Caenorhabditis elegans: one gene and its partner. The protein of the gene in region 1 interacts with the protein of each later gene in a pairwise test. Each region holds a gene or a part of one and is shown in the gene's direction. Other genes may lie near its edges. The genes, in order: fath-1 and daf-3.

Region 1 (4,514 bases):
TTGAAGCAAACATTTTCAATTTCGCGTTTCTTTTTTTTTCCTTTTCTTCGACGCCGCGTCGTATTCTTCTCAACTAAATTAGTTTCCCGTCGAATGAGTTTCCTTCTTACTCTTTGAAAATAAGAAGACAATGCGGTGGTTTCTATGGTTTAACTGCATGGCTCCAAGAGTCCAAGTCCATTCTTTTGTGTATGTTTGTCAATGGTTACAAAGTTCTCGTCTCGTTTCCCGCGCGCTCAGTGTTTTCCTTCCGTCGCCCAGAGAAGCTTAAAAGCCTCTCTTGAGCTGGAGGAGCACACGCCGCCGCCGGCTCCGCACTCCTCGCAATTTTGGAAATTGCATGAGCCTCTTCTTTCCTTCCTTCCTTTCCCGCCACGCCCCTTTCCTCCCCCGTTTTCCATTTCATCGAACTGACTGACGGGAGAGGAAGGATGGACGATAGACGGGGTGGCAAAATATTCAACCCCATTGTTTGCCCCCGTTTCTGACGAAGAGCCCGTGCACATACATAGGCTCGCACTCTCATTCCGCACATTTTATCTCGTTGAATTCAATTCAATTAGGTCACTTGCTCTAGTTTGCTCTTTCAATCTCTACTCTTTTAACCCGGGTGCTATGATACTTTAAATCAAACTTCCATCACCTTCCATATAGATTAACTCTTCAGATTCCACACTAACATCCTTAAAAATTACAAAAATATTTAAATGCTCCAGAATGACATCCTGGACAATTTTTGAATATTTCATCCTCAGCGTCTGCCATCTCCGCTTAAATAGGAAAAGGCTCACACAATTTGCAAATATATATTTATAAAGGCTCGGTTTATTTGAGATGGCACATTTTTCATTAAGTATTCGTACCAACGGGCACAATTGTGCCCGATTTGTGTCTAGAAAAACTAGGAAAATCGTGGGAAAATGACAGTTTGTTTGCCAGAAAACTCTTCAGTCTTCTATATAATCGTAGTTGTGGTAGTTCCAAAACTTGTGTTTTCATATATTTTAACTCGTATTTTAACTGCTGCAAGATTTCTAAATTAAATTATATTAAACCGAGAAATTTCGAAGCTCAGAAACTATGATTACTTGAGGCAGATATGTCTCAATTGTTCCAATGTTTTTAACTAGACTCAGGCCAACACAAAGACCAAGTGCAACATATCAAAATTACACATTTGATGTCCAATGCACATGTTTCAAATTTGCTCAGAAACCCTTCACCTTCATCTCCTGCTCCACCACCCACCTCTCTTGTGTCGGCTCTCTCCTATGCTATTATATGTATGTGCTCTGAATCCCTTGCAGAATTCATGTAATACTATGTTTTCCCGTTTCGTCTACTTGCTTCCCTTTTCTTTCGGTGTTGATTTACCTAATTAAATGAGAACCTACGTGCATTTCCTGCTCCGACTCAGAGAGAGAGAGAAATTATTCAATATAGCAATGTAGCAGAGATTTTTATTCTATTTTCAGTTGTTTTCAAGTATTTCCAGCTATCAATCATCACTTTTCTGAAGCAGGTGAATACTGAAAAACAATCCATTCTGCAATCTCGTTATACCTTTTTTGATTCGAACAGCTCCTTCACTCGTGATATTATGAGGACGCAGAAACATGATACGCTCCGCCCCCAAACCATGGGTCTCGTTAGGTATTTGACGGAAAAACCTTCAATCGAAACGTTTTAATAGTGTTTTTCGTTTTTTTATTATGTTGTTTTTAAAGATTTTGATGCTGAAATTCTGACATGAATTTTTAGTCAAATGAAACAACATTAATTTCTTAAACAAGAAATCTTTAAAATCAACTTAAAACATAACAAAAATTTTTTAATATGAAACTAATTGAAAAACGTCTGAATTAATGAGTTCTGCCGCCAACTTCCTACCGAGACCCATGGCCCGGAGGCGGCGCGCTTTGCACTTCAATTTGAATAGGTATTTTTTCTGCGTCCCCATAATATACCCTAACCTCAATTCATATGGCTGCTTTTCTTGACCGGAAAATGACGTTTTCTGGTGAATGTGCTCATTTCCTTTTGCTACTTATTTTTCTACTATGAGATCATGATCATATTGCTTTCCCCGTTTCATATTTTCTATATTTATAACGTTTCGTAATTTATAATTTTCTATATTTCAGTGGAAAATATGGGGATAGGAGCAGATGAGAAGAAGCCGTTGCTAGTACAACTCGACGGGCAATATTATGACATTGCTGATTTTGCGCCTAAACATCCGGGAGGTGCCAAGGTAACTTTTTTTCAAGTTTTAGGATATTTTACTAATCTCAAACTTTTTATAGGTTCTGAATCGTTTGGCTGGAGAAGAAATTGGAGAATTTATCAGAGGAGAAAAAAGGATAATGGGTGTACGTCATGAGCACTCGGAAGCCGCTTATAATATGCTCGAGAGATATAATGTGAATGCAATTCAAAAAGTTCGTTCCTTCCATCAAATCTAATTATTAATATTTCTAAAATTCTAGGGTGATCCATTGATTGAGTCTAAATCCGGAATGCTTTTCAAAGTTGGATCTCTTGGCTCTGAATATTGGCATTGGATTCATCAACCATATGATGGAACTTTAAGGTATTGATGATCTCGACTTTTCAATGCAAATTTTCACTTTTTTTCAGACTTTTCGATTCGGATGTGTTGGAAAGCATGACAAGAACAGCTTGGTGGGTGGTCCCTGCTGTTTGGATGCCGATCGTCATTACTTTTTCTATCCTCTCAGTGCTCTCATTTTCAACATCCACCGATGTTTATAACTCGATTCTCCTGTGGTCTGCCTGGTTCGTCATTGGAGTTTTGACATGGACTCTCACTGAATACAGTCTTCATCGATGGGTTTTCCATTGGAAGCCGTCTCCAGATTCGCCGAATCAGATTCTTCTTCATTTCTTGGCTCATGGACTTCACCATAAAACACCGATGGACGGAGACCGCCTTGTGTTCCCTCCGGTTCCAGCTACTTTGATTGTTGGAATTTTCTATTTAATCTACTCCAATACCTTCCAATGGTCAGTATTAAACCTTTCCTGGTTCCCATATTCAGTTAATCGTTTTAGGCCAGTGTTTTGCGCGTTTGGCGCTGGAAAGTTATTTGGATATGTAACCTACGATATGGTACACTATTATTTACATCACGGAAGTCCTCGTCCACGCAGCAATTTACATTTTAGAAAAGTATATCATCATAATCACCACTTCAAAAACTTTGACGTCGGTAAGTTACATTTAACGGGATTTTGTTTAAAAATCAATTTTTAATTTGTTATTTTTAAGTCAAGAACATTAAAAACTGTTTTTTAATTGAGATTTTCTATAATCTGCAAATTGTCGTGAAATATAATGTTCTCTGACGGAAAATTACACAGATTTGCGATGGAGCGCGTTTGCACTTTCATTTTCGCAATCGAAATTTTTCTATCATTTTCCCTATTTCAGGCCTATTTTCATTTTTCAGGCTTCGGAATTTCGACTTCTCTTTGGGATTATGTTTTCCACACACTCGGAATGGGCCCATTATAATAATACATAGATGTTTTTTCGGAAAATTTGTTGTTTATTGAGTGAACTCTGCCTCACGTTTTTTATCTCTAAGTCTCTTGTCCCGATTCACTTTTCTCACGATCCACTATACCCGTTGTACATATATATTTATCGATTTACCTTTTCTTTTCTCGTACGCCAGATTAGTTCAACTTGTTTTCACATTTTATCTATATAGATCAGCTACTCAGCACGTGCCTATTATCCTCACTTCTTACCGGTTTCCATCAAACATTTTGTGATATTCCTTCTTGTTTTGTTTTCTTTCTGTTATGCGTGAAATTTGGAATAATTTTTAAAAATATCTAATGAAATCACCCCTTCATTCTTTCTCGCTAATTCTTTTTTTCGTTGCAATGCGCCGTATTTATTTCATATTTCTCTATAGTTTCAGAAGTTTTAGAAATCATTGATAGTTTCAGAACTCAGTCTACTTTCAACGGACAATGTTCTTGAGATACTTCTTGGACGAGAACCAACAAAGAGTGTACACTTTGAAGAGAACTGCTCCATCTGGAGAGCAAACTCTTACCGCTCATCCAGCTCGCTTTTCGCCGGAAGACAAGAACTCCAAATATCGCATCATCATCAAGAAGCGCTTCGGACTCTTGCCAACCCAGAAGGCAAAGACCGTTTGCTAAAATGCTGGTTTGGGAGTGGCGCCGCATGTTGCGGCAAAAAATCCGCTCTTTCACCCCCAATAAACCTATCAATTATCAACAGGTAATTTACAAATCTCGCATTTTTCCAAACGATATTTTATAATTTCAGGTGTCTCGTCGTCGTATCATCGTCTCTTTTGTTCTTTTCTTCGTTGGATGGAAAGCTTTTGGTTATACTCTCAACGATATGTTCCTTTGGACTGTCGATGAGCAAACTATGCAAGGTCGCTTTTTAACTCCACAAGAAGGCAAAGATCGAAGGTTTGTGTAAATTGAAAAAATCATTGATAATA
Region 2 (8,047 bases), on another chromosome or scaffold:
TACTAGAGGTGTTAATAATTGACGGTTTCAAGGCTAAGATCACGCGATTCTTTAGTTGAATTTGTTTTTTGATTGTTTGGACTGTGAGATTGTAATTTTTTTAATCTTGTAAGTTTTTGTGCAATGAAAAATGCCTTAACGACTTTCATATAAATTTCTCTTATTCCTCTTGTTTAAAATGTCTACCACAAATTTTTAACAGTTATAACTAAATTGGGCAAAATTTGTTATTTCAACTTTACAAAAAAAATTTAACTTTTTTTGAATACTCTCTGTAGACGCGGTTTTTTTTTCAGAATTATGGTGGCCACCTTTTCAATAAAAAAAAATTATCTGAAAAATGCCATGGTCTCTCTGACCTTCGGCCCACATTGTATCTACGGATTTCATTCAAATATTTGCGGTTTTTTTTGACCGCTTGATCAAACTAATGAACTTTCATCAATGCAAACAAAATTTTTTCGCCAAAAGCAAATGACTAGCCAACTTTTTTTTTCTGTTTATGTTCAAATAGTTCAGTGGTTTCTTGTTAATTAATTATGACACAGTTTTGGTCACAAAATTTGAGCGTTTTTTTCGCTGAAACAATTGCACAAATCTAATACAAAACATTCTGATATCACACGCATCAATTTGGCGAGATTTCAAAAAATCAAACTGAGATGAGACCAGTGAAAACAAAAAATATATATGAGTCATCTAGAAAGTGATCTATACATTTTGTAGATCTTTTTTTAAAAATTGTGATGTTTGAGTACTTACAATGTAGGTCTACCACTTATTTTTTCTAGTTAGCTCACTATTTTATGCTTAGCATAGGTCAAACTACCCTTATAAAAAAAAACAATTATTTAGGTAAAAACGCTTGAAGTTCTTTTTTTCCTTTGTTTTGCACGAGAGGTTTTTTGTAAGTTTCTTATCAATCTCTTTTTTCAGTAAAAAAAGATCAAAACATCAAACCGAGGTCATGTGCACTCTCTTGTAGCTCTCTACTTGTTCCCTCATTATCTTATTCCCCCCGTCTTCTCACTTGTTGGTCCAACTACGCTCAACTTATCGATTCTTTGCAGCGAGCACTGCCACCTCAACACACTTTTAGCAATGAAATAGTGTGCTGGGCGAAGAGACGCAGACACACGTACGTAGTTTAAGAGTGAGCGAGATAGAGTGTGCGTAACGAGAAAAAGAGATAGAAGACGAAGAAACAAGTAGTGGTTTGGTTTCGATCTTTTTTTTTTAATTTGGGATATTTTTATTTTTATTTTCGAATTGTCAATTATTATTATTAATAGACTGTCAAAAATTACTTTTAATACCCCGTATTTGAACACGTTCTTTTTTTTATTTCTCTTAAATTGATTCCAAACAAGTTCCTATTAACACAATTCTTTTCAATTTTCTTTTCGAAATCATAATATTTTTTAAAAGTTAAATCTGTGGTTTTTTGGTTTTCCTTTCTGAATATGTTTTTACTGAAAACACCAAAAAATCTTGACAGTAGCTCAAAATATCAAGCTTTACAATTAAAGTTTTTCTCAACTTTTTTTTTCCCCTATAAACACAATCTCCCTTTATTCCCAAAAATACCACGAAACATGATATTTCAAAAAAAAAAGACAAACAGGTTTATACCACAGTTTGTACCTTTTATTGTCCATGCTGGTATTGTATTTCCTACTTCTTTGCCGCCCGGTTTTTCCTTGTTGTTTTAATTTTATTCCAAAACTCAATTTTACAGGTAATCAAATTGTAAAGGAAAAATATTAATAGTCAGAGTACACATAAATGGGTGATCATCATAATTTAACGGGTGAGTTTTTGTTTTATTGAAATTACTTTATTTTCGGAATGTTATTTAAAAAAAAGTTACAGTTTGAATAAAAAAACAGGATCTTCTGTTTCAGTTTTGAAAAAAAAACCAATTCCATAGTCCATATCCCAACTTACAGGCCTTCCCGGTACCTCCATCCCGCCACAGTTCAACTATTCTCAGCCCGGTACCAGCACCGGAGGGCCGCTTTATGGTGGAAAACCTTCTCATGGATTGGAAGATATTCCTGATGTAGAGGAATATGAGAGGAACCTGCTCGGGGCTGGAGCAGGTTTTAATCTGCTCAATGTAGGAAATATGGCTAATGGTGAGTTTAAATAGTAGCTATAGGAGTGAAGTGTTTGGAGTGTCGTGTTGGATATAAAATATCAATTAAAATAGATTCGAATTATTCAGAAAATCGCTTATTTTGGTAGTAGAACAAATGTTGATAAGTTAACAGACATCTTCTTTTTCCAATTAGTCTTGCACCCGAAGTGACTAGTTGGAAAATAGCCTTGCAGTTTCTATTAATTTTGTACATACTAATCTAGTACATTTCTAGAGAAAATTTTAGTATTTTAAGGTGGCAACGAGTAGTGCGGAACTCAAAATTCTCTTACATTCTCTTATATCTACTTACATTGAAAATTAATTTTGCACTCAAAAAATACCAAATAAAAAATAGGGTACTTGTTCCCGCTATTTTTGAAATTAATCAATTTTTCATTAATTTATCTATTTAAATTAAACTTGATATCTATTTTCTTCGTTGGGCTCAGGAATGGTAAATACGAGTTTTATAAGTTTTTATTTTATAAGTTAAAAAATTAATTTCTAAAATAGCGGAAGCATAATACACAAGTACCAAAAATAGTTATACATGCAATTTTGTCCATAGAATACTCTGAAACAACCTTGGTATTAGCTGCAAAACTGCAACATTATCAATTTAAAAAGGTATTTCTAATTGCAAATAAAATCGTAGCATTTCTAACAGTTGCCTAATTCTCGCTTTCTATTTTCAAATTTCAATTTTTTTTAAACTTTCAAGTAATGCAAACTCTGTAAAACACTGAAATCTAGTGAAAACCAAATCAATTTCCCTACGTGATTAGTAGTCGTGGTGTATGGTGGTTTGTGTTGGTTTGATATGCTTATTTTCCTTTTTGTTTTAAAAACCTTCCCCGTTTTGTTGCTTTTTAAATTTTACATTTCAAACTGAAATTCAGAATTTAAACCAATAATCACATTGGACACGAAACCACCTCGTGATGCCAACAAGTCATTGGCATTCAATGGCGGGTTGAAGCTAATCACTCCGAAAACTGAAGGTAAATAACGTCGAACATAGTAGTATAGCTTGAAAATAAAAAAAAACGTTGAATATGATGCATAAATGGTGCAATAGAAGGTTCAAAAGAATTTGTTGCCAACAAAAAATCTAAAATTTCAACACGAACCTCATGATGTTTACCGTCTGGCAGTCACTAACACACGTATTGATAAGCGAATTGTTGCCAAATTTCGTTGCTTATCAAACCTTATTTCTCTCTGACCATGAAGCTAATAGCAACTTCTCTTCTAGTTCCCGACGAGCACACACCGATGATGTCACCAGTGAATACAACTACAAAGATTCTACAACGGAGTGGTATTAAAATGGAAATCCCGCCATATTTGGATCCAGACAGTCAGGATGATGACCCGGAAGATGGTGTCAACTACCCGGATCCAGATTTATGTAAGTGGCAAAAAAAGTGTGAGCAAAAGAACTTAATATATTTTCAGTTGACACAAAAAACACAAATATGACCGAGTACGATTTGGATGTGTTGAAGCTTGGAAAACCAGCAGTAGATGAAGCACGGAAAAAGATCGAAGTTCCCGACGCTAGTGCGCCGCCAAACAAAATTGTAGAATATTTGATGTATTATAGAACGGTAAATACTTAAGTTTGTAGTACTGATTACAATATTGCATTTTCAGTTAAAAGAAAGTGAACTCATACAACTGAATGCGTATCGGACAAAACGAAATCGATTATCGTTGAACTTGGTCAAAAACAATATTGATCGAGAGTTCGACCAAAAAGCTTGCGAGTCCCTGGTGAAAAAATTGAAGGATAAGAAGAATGATCTCCAGAACCTGATTGATGTGGTTCTTTCAAAAGGTACAAAATATACCGGTTGCATTACAATTCCAAGGACACTTGATGGCCGGTTACAGGTGAGATCAAAAAAAATTTCTAGGACACATTTTGAGCCTATAGACATTAAATTATGATCTTTCAACGAACCTACGCTAGATAAATGATCCGACTTTTAAAAGTTTTGGAATTTATTTTGAGACGTTTCATTATGAAACTTGTATTAGACCAGCTTATGATATCAAAGTACCCACAAACTCCATACAAATTACAGGTCCACGGAAGAAAAGGTTTCCCTCACGTAGTCTATGGCAAACTGTGGAGGTTTAATGAAATGACAAAAAACGAAACGCGTCATGTGGACCACTGCAAGCACGCATTTGAAATGAAAAGTGACATGGTAGGTGAAGTAAGTGTGAATTGTTTCATTTTTCCTTTGATGTGATGTGGCACATGTTAGCTTCTTCCCTTATTCGGTTAACTCTGTGACCTTTGTTTGATTAAGTTGATTGCCTAATGTTGAGAAGATGTGACTTTTAAAAGTTTTAATATGAATATTAGGCCTTACAGGTATGCGTGAATCCCTATCACTACGAAATTGTCATTGGAACTATGATTGTTGGGCAGAGGGATCATGACAATCGAGATATGCCGCCGCCACATCAACGCTACCACACTCCAGGTCGGCAGGATCCAGTTGACGATATGAGTAGATTTATACCACCAGCTTCCATTCGTCCGCCTCCGATGAACATGCACACAAGGCCTCAGCCTATGCCTCAACAATTGCCTTCAGTTGGCGCAACGTTTGCCCATCCTCTCCCACATCAGGCGCCACATAACCCAGGGGTTTCACATCCGTACTCCATTGCTCCACAGACCCATTACCCGTTGAACATGAACCCAATTCCGCAAATGCCGCAAATGCCACAAATGCCACCACCTCTCCATCAGGGATATGGAATGAATGGGCCGAGTTGCTCTTCAGAAAACAACAATCCATTCCACCAAAATCACCATTATAATGATATTAGCCATCCAAATCACTATTCCTACGACTGTGGTCCGAACTTGTACGGGTTTCCAACTCCTTATCCGGATTTTCACCATCCTTTCAATCAGCAACCACACCAGCCGCCACAACTATCACAAAACCATACGTCCCAACAAGGCAGTCATCAACCAGGGCACCAAGGTCAGGTACCGAATGATCCACCAATTTCAAGACCAGGTACGTATGATTTAAAAAAAAAACAGTTGTTGTAAGGAGAAAAAGTTATTCTGACAGTAGGCATGAGGGTTGAACTAGAGGGACGCCGCAATTGCAAGAATTGTCGATTGCCGAAAATTTCCGACTTTGAACGGATGTCGGCAGGATGTGCCGGTCCGCTGTCAGGGTGGGCGGCAATTGCCGTTTGGCAATTTTTTTTGTCCACAAATTCAGCAAATCGCCGGAAATTTTCGATTCCGGCAATTAGCCGGTTTGCCGATTTGACGGAAATTTTAATTGAAGCAATTTGCCGATTTGCCGATTTGGCTGAAAAAATCGTTTGCCGCTCACCCCTGGTTTGGTGTTCCAGCCGAGAGCTAATAATTTTAGTCACTCAGCCACACAATACTGCCACCTATCAAGGCATGGATTTACAAAGGTTTAATATCTCCAGGTGTCAAACCAGAAACGGCAAAATATTATTTATGGGTACCTCATTATATAAAGGGGTAGAATATAAGTAGGCGGACAGGTGCATAGCCAATTCCCGCAGTTTAATCCTTTTTGGGATGTCCATTAACAGAGCCTTATTTGAATTTTTCTATTGGATTTTCGCCCTTTTCCGATGAAAACGAAGCGTTTTCAAACTTCACTAAAAGTGCAGCTTTTACAATTTTGACTAAATTGCTCTAGAATTAAGTATGAAAAAATTTTATGAATAGTATTGAGAGTTCATATTCTTTCGCAAAATAATCAAGAAATCTCTGCAGGAAATTTAATGTTAAGTTTAATCCTTATACATAAATTCTAATATAAGTACTTGATAATAACGAGAAAGGATGAAGCCCCTCAAATATTTGCCTTTTAAATTTGCACGTAGGTTTGAAAAGGCATCAATTTTGCAAATTTTTTTTTCGATAAACATTTTGCAGTTTTTTTATTTTAGATCTCATCAAAATATCTTCTTCTGGTAGACACATGTAATTTATTTGAAATTGATTGGAAAATGCCAACTTACAACATTTTGAAAAGGTGTCCTGCCAATTTCATATCAGTTATCAGATTTATTTTCTAAAAAAATAGCCAAGTTGAGACCACGAGGCGTATGATTATAGTTGTATAGTCGGTGATTTATTGCATAAAGAAGTTGGTTTAAAAGCAGTGATTTTGATTCTCAAAACTCATTTTTTTAGAGATTTTCTACAGCCGCTTTGCGAACAATTTTACTTTTCATCATACATGATACATTTTTTTGTCGCCTTTTCAGTTCATTCCTAAAATTTGTAAAACTTGAAGTAAACTCAATTACAGTGTTACAACCATCAACAGTCACCTTGGACGTGTTCCGTCGGTACTGTAGACAGACATTTGGAAATCGATTTTTTGAAGGAGAAAGTGAACAATCCGGCGCAATAATTCGGTCTAGTAACAAATTCATTGAAGTAAGTATTTCTAATATGTAGCTACTATGTACGTGTCACTCAAGATTGACAGCTTATCGCATATAAGTTGTGTCGATAAGGTGCCAAACAAAATATTGAATTTAATGTCACTTTTTGCTTTCTGAATCATCAAACAAACGATTTTTGTTTTTCATTCAAGAATATTGTGTTTTTTCTAGGAATTTGATTCGCCGATTTGTGGTGTGACAGTTGTTCGACCGCGGATGACAGACGGTGAGGTTTTGGAGAACATCATGCCGGAAGATGCACCATATCATGACATTTGCAAGTTCATTTTGAGGTTCGTTCTAGTTTTCATGGAATTAAAAGCCAAGTATTTTTTAGGCTCACATCAGAAAGTGTAACTTTCTCAGGAGAGGGGCCAGAAGTTAGTGATTGTAAGTTTCTTTTTTTTCTCTCTAAAGTTCACTTTAAAAAATCGTGTTAGTGATTGAAAACAAAATGAGTAATTATGTATTATACCCCGCCAACATAAAATTAAATTAAATTTTCATTCATAACTTTATTTAAATTAAACGTGATATGGATTATCTTCTTCAGATTTAGAAATGGTTATCATCAAGAAATCTTCCACACGTTTTCATGCTTTATTTCTTAAAAACTTTCATTTAAAACGACGGGGATATAATACATAAATACCCAAAAATGTAAAAGATCAAGTAAATTTAAAATGTTCACAACATAAAAAAAAACTGCTTGCTTTTTTCAGTGAACGAAAAATGGGGAACAATTGTGTACTATGAGAAAAATTTGCAAATTGGCGAGAAAAAATGTTCGAGAGGAAATTTCCACGTGGATGGCGGATTCATTTGCTCTGAGAATCGTTACAGTCTCGGACTTGAGCCAAATCCAATTAGAGAACCAGTGGCGTTTAAAGTTCGGTAAGTAAATCTGAAACTTATTGATATATTATAGAACATAGGTACAATTTTTTTTACAATCCAATTTTTTGGGCAATGACAGTATCAGGGTAACAATCCAATCCAAATTCGGAAATGTTGTTCGATAGTTTCCAGCTTATGAATTTTCTAACTAAAGAAATAACACAAATTTTTAAAGCTTTTGAACCATTGAAATGTTTCAGTAAAGCAATAGTGGATGGAATTCGCTTTTCCTACAAAAAAGACGGGAGTGTTTGGCTTCAAAACCGCATGAAGTACCCGGTATTTGTCACTTCTGGGTATCTCGACGAGCAATCAGGAGGCCTAAAGAAGGATAAAGTGCACAAAGTTTACGGATGTGCGTCTATCAAAACGTTTGGCTTCAACGTTTCCAAACAAATCATCAGAGACGCGCTTCTTTCCAAGCAAATGGCAACAATGTACTTGCAAGGAAAATTGACTCCGATGAATTATATCTACGAGAAGAAGACTCAGGAAGAGCTGCGAAGGGTAATTTTGAGTGTAAGATTTTGT

The links.
Region 2: the proteins of fath-1 (region 1) and daf-3 interact in a two-hybrid assay, tested with the Caenorhabditis elegans proteins (one study listed by BioGRID).

What each region holds. Positions count from the first base shown.
Region 1 is NC_003279.8:10,175,037-10,179,550, forward strand, and holds fath-1 (Fatty acid 2-hydroxylase), read left to right. Parts: upstream 1-2,144; 5' UTR 2,145-2,152; coding exon 2,153-2,254; intron 2,255-2,306; coding exon 2,307-2,441; intron 2,442-2,489; coding exon 2,490-2,593; intron 2,594-2,640; coding exon 2,641-3,027; intron 3,028-3,075; coding exon 3,076-3,233; intron 3,234-3,473; coding exon 3,474-3,538; 3' UTR 3,539-3,879; downstream 3,880-4,514. Other genes in the region: nola-3 (Putative H/ACA ribonucleoprotein complex subunit 3), read left to right, coding at 4,006-4,200; C25A1.16 (uncharacterized protein), read left to right, coding at 4,202-4,282, 4,331-4,482.
Region 2 is NC_003284.9:819,165-827,211, reverse strand, and holds the start of daf-3 (Smad protein daf-3), read left to right. Parts: upstream 1-1,785; coding exon 1,786-1,810; intron 1,811-1,949; coding exon 1,950-2,138; intron 2,139-3,042; coding exon 3,043-3,144; intron 3,145-3,365; exon of another isoform or gene 3,366-3,370; coding exon of another isoform or gene 3,371-3,398; coding exon 3,399-3,554; intron 3,555-3,601; coding exon 3,602-3,753; intron 3,754-3,799; coding exon 3,800-4,039; intron 4,040-4,233; coding exon 4,234-4,368; intron 4,369-4,520; coding exon of another isoform or gene 4,521-4,529; coding exon 4,530-5,190; intron 5,191-6,480; coding exon 6,481-6,611; intron 6,612-6,790; coding exon 6,791-6,912; intron 6,913-6,956; coding exon 6,957-7,009; intron 7,010-7,341; coding exon 7,342-7,513; intron 7,514-7,716; coding exon 7,717-8,023; intron 8,024-8,047. UniProt on the Caenorhabditis elegans protein: Transcriptional regulator and common SMAD (co-SMAD), required to regulate entry into a developmentally arrested larval state known as dauer, in response to harsh environmental conditions.